3 linked regions of the Ovis aries genome follow. The protein of the gene in region 1 interacts with the protein of each later gene in a pairwise test. Links are inferred from orthologs where the notes say so. Each region holds a gene or a part of one and is shown in the gene's direction. Other genes may lie near its edges.

Evidence for each region. The genes of interacting proteins can lie anywhere in the genome.
Region 2: the proteins of SEC22A (region 1) and ERLIN1 interact in binary tests that used the Homo sapiens proteins (3 or more experiments, as listed by UniProt). The two-hybrid records come from large-scale screens. The link is inferred for Ovis aries from reciprocal best matches to the Homo sapiens genes SEC22A and ERLIN1.
Region 3: the proteins of SEC22A (region 1) and SFTPC interact in binary tests that used the Homo sapiens proteins (3 or more experiments, as listed by UniProt). The two-hybrid records come from large-scale screens. The link is inferred for Ovis aries from reciprocal best matches to the Homo sapiens genes SEC22A and SFTPC.

What each region holds. Positions count from the first base shown.
Region 1 is NC_056054.1:188,498,742-188,502,302, forward strand, and holds part of SEC22A (vesicle-trafficking protein SEC22a), read left to right. Parts: intron 1-1,921; coding exon 1,922-2,122; 3' UTR 2,123-3,561. UniProt on the Homo sapiens protein: May be involved in vesicle transport between the ER and the Golgi complex.
Region 2 is NC_056075.1:20,870,941-20,875,168, reverse strand, and holds the start of ERLIN1 (erlin-1), read left to right. Parts: upstream 1-1,367; 5' UTR 1,368-1,493; intron 1,494-1,726; 5' UTR 1,727-1,737; coding exon 1,738-1,850; intron 1,851-3,838; coding exon 3,839-3,920; intron 3,921-4,228. UniProt on the Homo sapiens protein: Component of the ERLIN1/ERLIN2 complex which mediates the endoplasmic reticulum-associated degradation (ERAD) of inositol 1,4,5-trisphosphate receptors (IP3Rs).
Region 3 is NC_056055.1:43,446,638-43,450,891, reverse strand, and holds the start of SFTPC (pulmonary surfactant-associated protein C), read left to right. Parts: upstream 1-1,393; 5' UTR 1,394-1,405; coding exon 1,406-1,447; intron 1,448-2,177; coding exon 2,178-2,336; intron 2,337-2,920; coding exon 2,921-3,043; intron 3,044-3,285; coding exon 3,286-3,396; intron 3,397-3,741; coding exon 3,742-3,879; 3' UTR 3,880-3,889; intron 3,890-4,083; 3' UTR 4,084-4,254. UniProt on the Homo sapiens protein: Pulmonary surfactant associated proteins promote alveolar stability by lowering the surface tension at the air-liquid interface in the peripheral air spaces.

The sequences.
Region 1 (3,561 bases):
TTGGATACCACCTTACCAAAAGATCACAGTTAATAAGTAATTTGACACATCACATATTACCTCTTTGGTATTCTTCTTTCCAAAATTGGATATCCTCTATTCAATTTTGAGACAATATCAGCCGAACCAAAATTAAGGACCATTTTACAAAATAACTGATCAGTACTCTTTAAACTGTTAAGGTCACAGAAAACAAAGAAAGGCTTGAGCTGTTAAAGATTCAAGGAGACCTGACAACTAAATTAAATATGGAGTCCTGGATTGGATTCTGGACCAGGAAAAGGGTCTTATGGGATAGCTGGCAAAACTCAAGTGAAGTCTTTAGGTTACTTAATAGTATTAAAATCAATGTTAATTTCCTGTTTTGATGATTATACTGTGGTTATATGAGGATAACATTTGGTTGGGGTGAAAAGCTTTTGTAACTTTTCTTACATTTAAAATTATTTCAAAAGAAAATTTCTATTTTTTTCAACTTGTTAAATTCAAAACACTCCAATAAAATAAATTTTTCTAGTTAAATTTTGCTTGGATAGCAAACACAGGCCTGATCTGTATAAGAACTAAATGCATTAAGCAGAGCATCACATTCTTTCTGTATTGTCACAAACACTCTAATGTTCTTCCTGTTCTGAAGTCTGGATATAAATCTCACACAGAGTCCTGCACCTCTTTCCTAAGACTTTGTGATCATATGTAACTCCTATATATCCCAGACTTGGAGTTTTAGATATCTTCTAGAAAATAGTTCATTGATTCAACAGATTTTTATTGTGCACTTATTATATACATACCAGGCATTGTTTGGGCTTCCCTGGTGGCTCAGAGGTTAAAGCGTCTGCCTGCAATGTGGGAGACCTGGGTTCGATCCCTGGGTCAGGAAGATCCCTGGAGAAGGAAATGGCAACACACTCCAGTATTCTTGCCTGGAGAATCCCATGGATGGAGGAGGCTGGTGGGCTACAGTCCACTGGGTTGCAAAGAGTCGGACATGACTGAGCGACTTAACTTTCAGGCATTGTTTGGGGCAATGGAGAAAAGTGAGTGAACAAGGCAGTTAAAAACCTCTCCCTTCATGAAGCTTGGATCTCATTGGAAGACTATAGATGACAAAAAAAATAAGCATATTTTTGAAGTATGTTAATAAATGTAATATAGAGAAAAATAAAGGAGGAAAGGTGAATGCCAGGGTTTGGGTGCAGGAGAGTATTTTATCTTTTAAATCAGCACTCATTGAGTTCTGTGTCCCATTTTTAAAAATCTTTTTTAGAACATAACTGCTTGATTTTATATATATAAACACATATATATATTTATATATAAACTTTATAATCTGTCTTCTCCCAGTAGAATGTAAGCTCCATCTGAGTGAGGTCTTTGTTTACTTAAAACCAAAGAACAACACCAAACAGATAAATAAATTTCCATTGAATAAATTCTCCCTCAAGTGTTCTCTCAGGTTCTAGTTTAGCCCCTTAGACTCAAGTAAATATTTGTTGATTTCATTAATATACAGATTCAGGTTATATGAGCCCATTTTGCTGAATAACTTGTATGAGTTTTTTTTTAACCTTTCTGGGATAAGAACCCTTAAGATCCTAAGACTGCTTCTTAGTTGCCTGTCATCTTGAGGAATTTGTTTAGCTTGTTTGCATGGAAGTTTATCTATTTTAAATACAATACAAAACGCTTTTCCTTTTGAAAAATGAAAAACATAAAAGGAGAAACCTATTTCCCTTTTAAGCTGTGGAGCTTTCATAGCTGAATGTCTTAAAGATATTACATTGTCTTATCTGTAGTTGAAAAATCCCCTCATTCCACTCTCATATTTCACCCTGTGGCCTGTTAAAGTTTTATAGTTGCAGCATCCATTTCTTCTTCCTATAACCCTAATCATCATTTATTTTTATATTTTCAACAGTGTTATTTACTCGTCTACTATACCAGCTGGCGGAATGTCAAATCTTTTTTGACTTTCGGTTTAATCTGTCTATGCAACATGTATCTCTATGAACTGCGCAACCTCTGGCAGCTTTTTTTTCACGTGACTGTGGGAGCATTTGTTACACTACAGATCTGGCTAAGGCAAGCCCAGGGCAAAGCTCCTGATTATGATGTCTGACACCATCCTTCAGACATATTGCCTTGCCTTAAAGAGGAAAAGGAAGGACACTACCACTGTGATGAAGAAACTGTTCACCACAAATGAGAAGCTCTGCTTTCTTTCTCTCCAGCTGTCCTTTTTAAGTCAGCATGGCATGCCTGTGAGCATGCAATACCTGGTAGGCAAATTCCTGTCAGCAGAATGTTGGCCATGATTATCGTTCAGAAGAAGATGAAGAGCCCTCTCTACAGGGCAATGGCATTGGAAGAACAGTCAGATGCCATTGGAAGACTTGGCCAACAGCTCTGAATCATGGCTGGAGAATTCAGTCAAGAAGTGTGTGTGGTACTTGCTCTGAGAACCAAGCAGGAACTCTACAACCCCAGTTTGCCTTTGTGAGGCATTAGTACAGACCAAATAAAAGATGCTGCAGTGAATTGGAAAGTTTATGTGTAAAACAAATGACTCACTAAATATTAGATCATTTGCACATTTATTGTACCATGAGTCTATGAAGTCCTGATTGGTATGGAATGGTTTCTTTTTCCTTTTATATTTTTGCTTGAATCTTAACTCTGGAAATCACCTGATGTAGGAGAAGGCTGTGGTGAGCTCATCCCTAGAGCATCATAAGTATTGAAAACACAGTGACACGTTTCTTTCCTAGACCACATTTACACCTTCTTTTGAAATCACTTTTTAAAAATATGTCATTAGGCTATAGCCATTATTTGCCAAACTTCAATCACTTAAGTATTACTATTACATATGCTATTATTTACTTAATATTTATCTTTTAAATTTTAAAACATTTTAAAAAGAAACTAACCTCTACTCCAAGTGAAAAACCAGCATCAGTTTGCCATTAAAAAAGAGAACTACAAAATAAATTAAAAATAAAACAGGATGTTGTGAGATTCTAACTGGATGCTAATGACTGCCAAGGCTCTGAATCCAAGAAGCCTACTCTTTCTTTATTGCAGTGAGAGATGTTAGCTAGCCCCAAAATGGGCTCTCTCTGTGGAATTATCAGAAGTTTAAAAGAAAATTATAAAGGGAATGACATTCACACTGTGACTCAACATCATTTAACTCTGTGTTGTGTATCACCTAAAGTCATCTCACAAGCCACCAAGTGATATGGGTCCTGCCCTGTGGAAACACTGAGTTGTTCTAAGAGTCAGAAGGTAACTCCTCTCTCAGCACTTATTATCCCTCATATTATTTCATGACTTCGAGGAGTTAAGCACCTACTATCTAAGTGGTGCTTTTTGATAACTTGTAAAGATTGTTTAAGCAGTTGTGAGAGGAAGCATATTTTGGTTCTGGTTTTGAGGGCTTCCCAGTGGCTCAGATGATAAAGAATCTGCCTGCAGTGTAGGAGACCTGGTTTGATCTCTGGGTCTGGAAGATCCCCTGGAGAAGGGAATGGCTACCCACTCCAGTATTTCTTGCCT
Region 2 (4,228 bases), on another chromosome or scaffold:
CATCTATCTCACTCCTATCTTTACTCTTTCACTAAAAGCAGAGACATCACTTTGCTGACAAAGGTCCATGTAGTCAAAGCTATGGTTTTTCAGTAGTCTTGTACCAATGTGAGAATTGGACCATGAAGATGAGCATCAAAGAACTGATGCTCTCAATTACGGTACTGGAGGACACTCTTGAGAGTCCCTTGGACAACAAGGAGAGCAAACCAGTCTAGTCCTAAAGGAAATCAACCCTGAATACTTACTGGAAGGACTGATGCTGAAGGTGAAGCTCCAATACTTTGGCCACCTGATGTGAAGAACTGGCTCATTGGAAAAGACCCTGATGCTGGGAAAGATGGAGGGTAGGAGAAGGGGGAGACGGAGGATTAGATGGCTGGATAGTATCAGACTCAATGAATAAGAGTTTGAGCAAGCTCCGGGGGATAGTGAAGACAGGGAAGTCTGGCATCCAGTCCATGGGGTCGCAGAGTCAGACACTACTTAGTGACTAAATAACAATGAATAACTTAAAAGGGCAGAAAAGTATTTAGTGAAAAGAAAGTATGTCTTTATTCTCTGCTGCTAAGTCGCTTCAGTCGTGTCCAACTCTGTGCGACCCCATAGACGGCAGCCCACCAGGCTCCCCCGTCCCTGGGATTCTCCAGGCAAGAACACTGAAGTGGGTTGCCATTCCCTTCTCCAATGCATGAAAGTGAAAAGTGAAAGTGAAGTCGCTCAGCCGTGTCTGACCCTCAGCGACCCCATGGACTGCAGCCTTCCAGGCTCCTCCATCCATGGGATTTTCCAGGCAAGAGTACTGGAGTGGGGTGCCATTGCTTTCTCCGGGTTTATTCTCTAGCCATCCAATTTCCCCTCCCTGCAGAAAAGCACTGTTTTAGGGCCTTTCAAAATCAGGGCCTAGCCTAATATCCCACTCCTTTCCAACACAGAGGCTTCAAGGAAGTTCAAACGCTCACTGTTCGTAGTCTTCCTGAAGGACCCTCCCAACACACACCCACGTTTGCGTGCTTATTAGTTCATTCGGTTCTTACTGCTTGGATGGCCTTCATAAAGCCCTCACTGGATCAGCATTCTAGCACGTTAATAGATGTCTTTGCACAAGGACAAACTGACCACTAAGGGATGTCTCAGATGCCTTCTTTCCTCTGCCCCTTTGCTTACTTCCAATACCCCACTTCCCTTTTCTTCCGGAGCAGGAAACCAAAAGCACACAGAGAAGACCCTACGCACCTTCGCGCGAATCTCTTGGCGGGCGGCTTGGAGAATTTTGTCCCATTCGCTCCCCGTCTCTAGTCGCAGGGCGCGGCGTCGGCGTGCGTGTCCGCGCAGCCGCATTGCCCCGCGGGTGGGCGGGGCCGGCTGTTGGCGGCGGTTGGCCCGGCCTTGGTGGCGGCTCCACGTGCGGGCGGGGACGATGCGTCACTGATTAGTGAGGCCCGGCCGAGGGGTCGGCCTCCGTCCGGAGTCTGCGGCTGGCTCCCTTCTCAGTTAGTGCCTTCTGCTGGGCGGGGAGGAGTGGTCGTCGGGAGGGGGCTGTCAGGCCGAGCCGTGTCGACTCACGGGCCAGCTCTGGCGGAGCGGGTTGGCGAGGAGGAAAAGGGGGCATAGGACTCCTCAGCTCGGCCTGCGGGACGGCGCCGGGTCGCGAGGGGGAAGGTGGAAACCAGAGGTGGTGGGCCTGTCACTCAAGGGGCTGGGGCTGCGTTCCATCCGCATGCAGGAGGAATTAAGATGAATATGACTCAAGCCCGAGTTCTGGTGGCTGGAGTGGTGGGTCTGGTGGTGGTCCTCCTCTACGCCTCCATCCACAAGATCGAGGAAGGACACCTGGCCGTGTACTACAGGTGAGCAGCACGTGCAGTCAGCTCAGGTTCTAGAGCAGGGAGAGGGAGACTTTTATTCGAGTCTAGGAAATTGTTCTCGGGGAACTTTTTCTAGTCCTAGAAGGTGATTTTCGTCGCATCCCTAGGGGGTTTGGGGGTGGTGGCAGGCTTTTGTAGACAGCTGGACAGTTTCAGTGCTGTGCAGAGATTAAGACTCCCTACAGTTGTTCCTAATAGTAAACCCACTTATTTGTAGGAAAAAATGAAAGGTGGAAGGCAGTGGTCACTCCATCTGTAGCTGAGGAGGTGGATAAATCATTGTTAAATTGCATACAGCTTTACTGACTTTCTGTTTGCAGCTGTAGATGCTATTTAGAAACTTGAGTCCTGTTTGTGGTGGTTTCTTAGCTTTTTGTTTTCTTTAAAAGATTATGGCATCTGGCTTGGGCTTGTAAGGCCATGAAGACCATTACAGTTAAATTCCTGGACCTTGGGAGACAAGCACAGGATTGTGACAGACACATCCTCCCAACCTTTCTCTTTCTTTTCACGTGGAAAGGAATGGTGTGAAGTTTGTTAGTTGCTCTCTAGCTGAGATGAATAGCTGTTCCTTCAACGTAGTTTCCACCAGTTTTTTTTTTTTTTTTTTATGTAGACAGATGATAGTTTGGAGAAATTTGAAGTGGTGTATTTGAAAGAGCTTCAACTTTTTGCTGGCTTCCGCCCATCCTCCCCTAAAACTGATGTTTCCACTTTTAGATCCACCTTGAGTCTTAGGAATAGTCTTAGCAAGTAGGGGTGGGAGTCTGGCATTTTAAAAATGACAGATTAGTCTGTATTTCCATCTAGTTCAGCATATAACTTTCTTTCAATGAATTTGAAATTTTAAAAATTTTTGGAAAAAAAATTTTTTTGGAATAATGGAAAAAAGTGATAGTAAAGGCAAAGAAAGAACATTTCAAGGTGTGGGTTTCAAAGAGTTAGGGATGGACCTAAAACAATTAATCTTTTCTTAGTTATTTGTTATGAATTCTTTGCAAATCTGTTTATATTTTCAAGATAGAAAGCTAAGTTCTATGAATTTACTATTCACTATATAAAACAGAATTTCATTTTTATTGTTGCCTCCAAATTGCCTCCTTTTTATAACTTCCAGAGTATGGTGTCATGTTTCTTACATTTCAGAATTTGGTGAACTTCTATTCACATCTATGCTTATAACATTGATTTATAGTTTTATCTCTTTATTCTTCATCTTTATATGCTAATTTTTTGTTGATTTTATAGAGGCTTTATAGTCCAAGTATTTTTTAAAAAATTTTTGAAATATAGTTAATTTGCAATGTTGTGTTTTAAGTGTTTAGCAAAGTGATTTATATATGTTTATATATTTTTCAGATTCTTTTATGTTATAGATTATTACAAGATACTGAATATAGTTCCTTGTACTATACAGTAGGTCCTTGTTTACCTATTTTATATATAGTGTTGTGTATATGTTAATTGCCCCCAATATTGTAATTGCTTTCTATGTAGAGTAAAAGAATCGTGAGCATCAGAAATTTTCTCCTTACTTGGAAGTTTGTGTTATCTCTTTTTTTTTTTCCAGCCCAGTGATTAAATGTATTATGTTTTGATCTGGCTTGTGTTATGTACAGTTAAAGTACATCAACTGAGAGCCAGCTGAATTTTTTTTCCACAAGTACTTCTCAAAAGATTAAAGACCAAAGAGAATCTTTATACCTGAAAGTATGGTGGAGACCCAGAGATGTGGTTGTTAGAGCTTGTGAAACAAGGTGTAATGTTAACAGTTTAATTTTATCTTTTCACTTTTGTAGGTATGACAGATACTGTAGAGACCAGCAATTGTTCATCACAAGTAACTTATACTAGTGAGGCTTTAGTAAATCAATAGAATGAGTAAGAGTGAATGTTTATTGTAGCATTTTAGATTTGGAAAGAGAATTTCTCTTTTTATAATCTTATCAAATTAAAACATCTTTTTGCAGGGGAGGAGCTTTACTAACTAGCCCCAGTGGACCGGGCTATCATATCATGTTGCCTTTCATTACTACCTTCAGATCTGTGCAGGTGAGTGATTCCTAGGGAAGCCCTGACACTAGAAAGACAAGTGTGACAGGAACAGTTACCACATTCATGGGTAGAGATAGATTTCCTTATTGCTTAAGCAAATGATAGTATGCTACCAATGTAGAAGCTAAAGTTCAGAGTACAGTTGTCACAGCATAAGTTATGACTTTGAACGACATCACTCTCTGGAAGTATGAGCTAGGCAGCTTTTAAGGACTGACTTCTCCCATCTATATAGTGGAATACAGCAGGTTTTCTGTTTTGCTATCAGAGTAAAAGCAAGATTTTGAAACACAACTAGAGACATA
Region 3 (4,254 bases), on another chromosome or scaffold:
CATAGATTTGGTGACCCAAAAAGAATGCTTGAGTTTTGCTGCACGTGCTTAAAAATGCAGACAGTAATGCTGAACTGAAGGGTTTCGACGTGGATTCTCTGGTCAACAAGCCCCCAAGATGCTGCACAGGACTTCGCAGAGCTCACAGTCGGATTAACCCCTGCAGGACTCCCCCCGGCACACAGAGATGATCCTGACTGGGAAAAGAGCCAGTTATTCCTAAACGTGCACAGAAACTTGCGCGGAAGAGAAAGCTGTCCCAGAAGAAACTGAAGAAGCAAAAATGTATGGTCTGGAAAATAAATTCAGCATAAAATAATTTCAGGGACTTCCCTGGTGGTCCAGGGGTTAAGAATCCGCCTGCCAATGCAGGGGACACAGATTCAATCCCTGGTCCGGGAAGATCCCACCTGCCCTGGGACAACTGAGCTGGTGTGCCACAATTCCTGAGAACTCACTCTAGAGGCTGTGCTCCGCAACAGAAGTCACTACAGAAGAAGCCTGTGCACGGCAACTAGAGAGTAGCCCCTGCTGGCTGCAGCTAGAGAAAGCCTACAAGCAGCAGTGAAGACCCAGGACAGCAAAAATAAACAAATAAATAAATACAACTTAAAAATAAATGCAAAAATGGTAAAACCAGGTTAAAAAGAAAAAGCCTTCAGCTTACAAACAAGCCCATACAAAGAAAGAAAAACTGCATGTTAGTAAGAATTTATAACTAGAAGGGACAGTTTTCAGAATTTGGGAAAGAATGACCAGGGGCATGTCTGAGGTTAGGTACAAGACATGTGTGAATAGGCAAAGAAGGTACACTTGAATTGAAAATCTGACACTCCCAGGAAATTTATGAACCATTTATGAAACTCTGCACTGATGCCAAAGCACCTCGTGCCTTTGGTACTATCCCTGTGGGTCCACAAGATTTCCCCTTCCTGGAGCTTAGGCTCCAGGGGCAATTTGGAGGCAATTCTGGGAGCAAATCTGTTGGGAAGTGTGGTGGACCCATTGGGTCTGGCCTTTGGTTGCCAAAGAGGTTCAGCCTGGCAGAAGAACAAGAAAAGCCATAAGATGGCAGGGGCAGGTGCCAGCAAGAATGGTAGGCATGCCAGGAAGACACCCACGGTGAGAGGTGCAGATTTCTCAAGGGCAAGGTTGCTCAGCTTACCCAGCTTTGCTTTCCCTGGGGCCAAGAGGACTCACGCGCCAGGGCCAAGGGCCCTGAGGCGCTCTTGCAGCTGGCTTATCTGGCCCTTGGCTCTGAAGGGCCAGGAACAAACAGGCTTCAAAGCTGAGGGCTTGGTTGGCAGACAGGGGCTGGGTCTTTTACCTCTGTCCTGTGTCCATGCTGGCACATATAAGACCCTAGTCATACTCAGAGATGAGGAGGGAAGGTGTCTACAGCAAGATGGATGTGGGCAGCAAAGAGGTCTTGATGGAGAGCCCGCCGGTGAGTCTGATCGTATGTACATGTATGTGTGTGTGTATGTGTGCAACAGTGTATCTGTGTATGATGGGCTCTGCCTCCTCCAACTTCTCCGGGCCTGTTTCCTACCCAAATTCATTCACTCAACTAACCTAGGACTGTGCTAAATTAAGACAGGGACACCAATCACTAAGACAGAGACTCTTGGAGTAGCAGACTCAGCAGCCACTAATTCTCATACAAGGGGCTGTGAGCCATTAAAGGGGTCTGTGGAAAAGACTGTAGAGAGCACTGGGAAAGGAGCCACTACGCGGGAGGTCACAGGAAGCTTTGCAGAGAAACTAACATTTGAGCTGGCTCCAGAGGAACAAGTCAGAGCTCAGCAGGTGGAGAAGGAGGAAGGCATTGCTGGAAGAAGGGATCATACACCTAAAAGCATGGATTTGGAGGGGAACTGGAGGGGATGGGTGTGGCTGGGATGTCAGAGGTGTGGAGGAAACAGCAGCAAGTGAGACTGGTTGAAACAGGCTCTCTTGGATCTGTTCAAGCTAGACCTCACTTCTAAGCATCTATGAGTTTGTTGGAATCCAGGCCCCCTCCTCCAGGAAGCGTCTAACCGGCTCAGCCCTCTTCTGCACATCCATGGCATTCTTTGTTCAGTCCCGGGAGAGACTGGGAGGGTGTCCCGGTTGTGCAGGGAGAAGTGGCATCTTCATGACCTCATACCTGTCTCCTCGCCTGCCCCACATGTCAGGACTACTCAGCAGTCCCCGGGGGCCGGCTCCGCATCCCCTGCTGTCCCGTGAACATCAAACGCCTTCTCATCGTGGTTGTGGTTGTGGTCCTTGTCGTCGTGGTGATCGTAGGAGCCCTGCTCATGGGTCTTCACATGAGCCAGAAACATACAGAGATGGTGAGTAGGCTTGGGATGGGGTGGGCAGTGGATACAGGGCAGGTCAGATAGAGGCCCTGGGATAGAGAGCAAATTGCCCACGGGGAATGAGGGGAGGAGGCAAGTGACGCCTCAGGGAAGGACAGAGGTGGAAACAGGGTGGCAAACTCTGCCTGGGCTTTTTCACCAGCCCCCACCCCACAGTTGGACAATCTGTTCCCTCCAGTGCCTGGTTCCCCTGGGCCTCTCTGAGCTCCCAGGGAAGAAAGAATTGCATTTGAGTAAAGAGGACTGGGGCCTCCCAGGCGGTGCTAGTGGTAGAGAACCCGCCTGCCAATGCAGGAGACATAAGAGATGAGGGCTTCATCTCTTACCGGTCGGGGAAGATCCCCTGGAGGAGGGCATGGCAACCCACTCCAGTAACCTTGCCTGGAGAATCCCATAGACAGAGGAGCCTGGAGGGTTACAGTCCACAGGGTCTCAAAGAGTTGGGCATGACTGAAGTGACTGAGCGCAGCACAGCACAAAGGGAACTGAGGGTGGGCATGAGGTGCAGGGATGAGTGGGGAAAGAGGAATGCCAGGCAGCACGATGCCCTCCTCTAGGTTCTAGAGATGAGCATCGCAGGCCCGGAAGCACAGCAACGCCTGGCCCTGAGTGAGCGTGTGGGAACCACTGCCACTTTCTCCATCGGCTCCACTGGCACTGTGGTGTATGACTACCAGCGGGTGGGTATGCGTGGACCTCTTGACCCCAAGGCTAAGGAACCAGTGATAATTCTGTGCTAGACCTCTTCTGCTTTGGCCTTCCTACAGGTTCATCTCTCCCCACGCCCAGCGCTTTTGCTAAGCGCCAGATTCCAGTACGACTCCTTCCAGTGCCCAGCCTAGAGGGGGATGGCCTAGGACCAGAGTTAGGAGTGAGCTAGGCAGCGGCTTCCGAACTGACCCTCATATGTTCCCATGCCCAGCTCCTGATTGCCTACAAGCCAGCCCCCGGAACCTGCTGCTACATTATGAAGGTGGCTCCGCAGAGCATCCCAAGTCTCGAGGCTCTCACTAGAAAATTGCCGAACTTCCAGGTGGGTGTATGGGTAAGAGGGAGTGGGTTGGTTTTTCCCAGGGCTGCTGGCAGGAGCATTTTAGATGATGATTTTGTCACCTGTAAAATGCTGCTCCTCGTGGACTGCCAGGCGAATGTTCTCCCTGGATCCCCCTGCACCCAACCTTTCCTAGCCAAGTTCCCCATCCCTGCCCCGCAGCCAAGCTGCTGGCTTAGCTGAGCCCACACACCCCCTGGGGGCTCTGACTCCAGCACAACACCTTCTTTACACAGAGACTGCCTGGTACACCTGAGGTCCCATGATAAGGACCATAGGTGAGACAGAAACTGAGTTCCCAGGCTCTAAACCAGATGCTCTTTCCAGGCCAAGCCCCCAGTGCCTTCCTCGAAGCTGGGCCAGGAGCAGGGCCGTGACGCTGGCTCAGCATTCTCTGGGGACCTGGCCTTCCTGGGCAGGACCGTGAGCACCCTGTGTGGCGAGGTGCCCCTGTACTACACTTAGGACTGGTCAGGTGAGCAGGTGTGACCTCCAGGGCACAGGAACAGACGCAGTCCTGACGGTTTGGGCCACCTCTTCACGTCAGCTGACCAGGCACTGGGGGACCCAACAAGATGGGGTCACCTACAGAGCTCCAGGGAGGGAAGGTTCACAAACACCCCCTCCAGTCCTCCCTCACATAATAAACAGTGTTTCTTCGCTTCCCAGGGCCTCAGGAAGCCCCAAAGGGACAGTGGAGATCCAGGAGCAAAGGGTCTTGTGCAGATTGGCAGGAAGTGGATACTGTCGACACCACTGGGACTGGCCCTGGAGAAATGGGAGCTGTGGGGAGAGGTGGGCAGAGGAGAAGCAGTTCCTAGGGCCCAAGGGGGCTCCTAC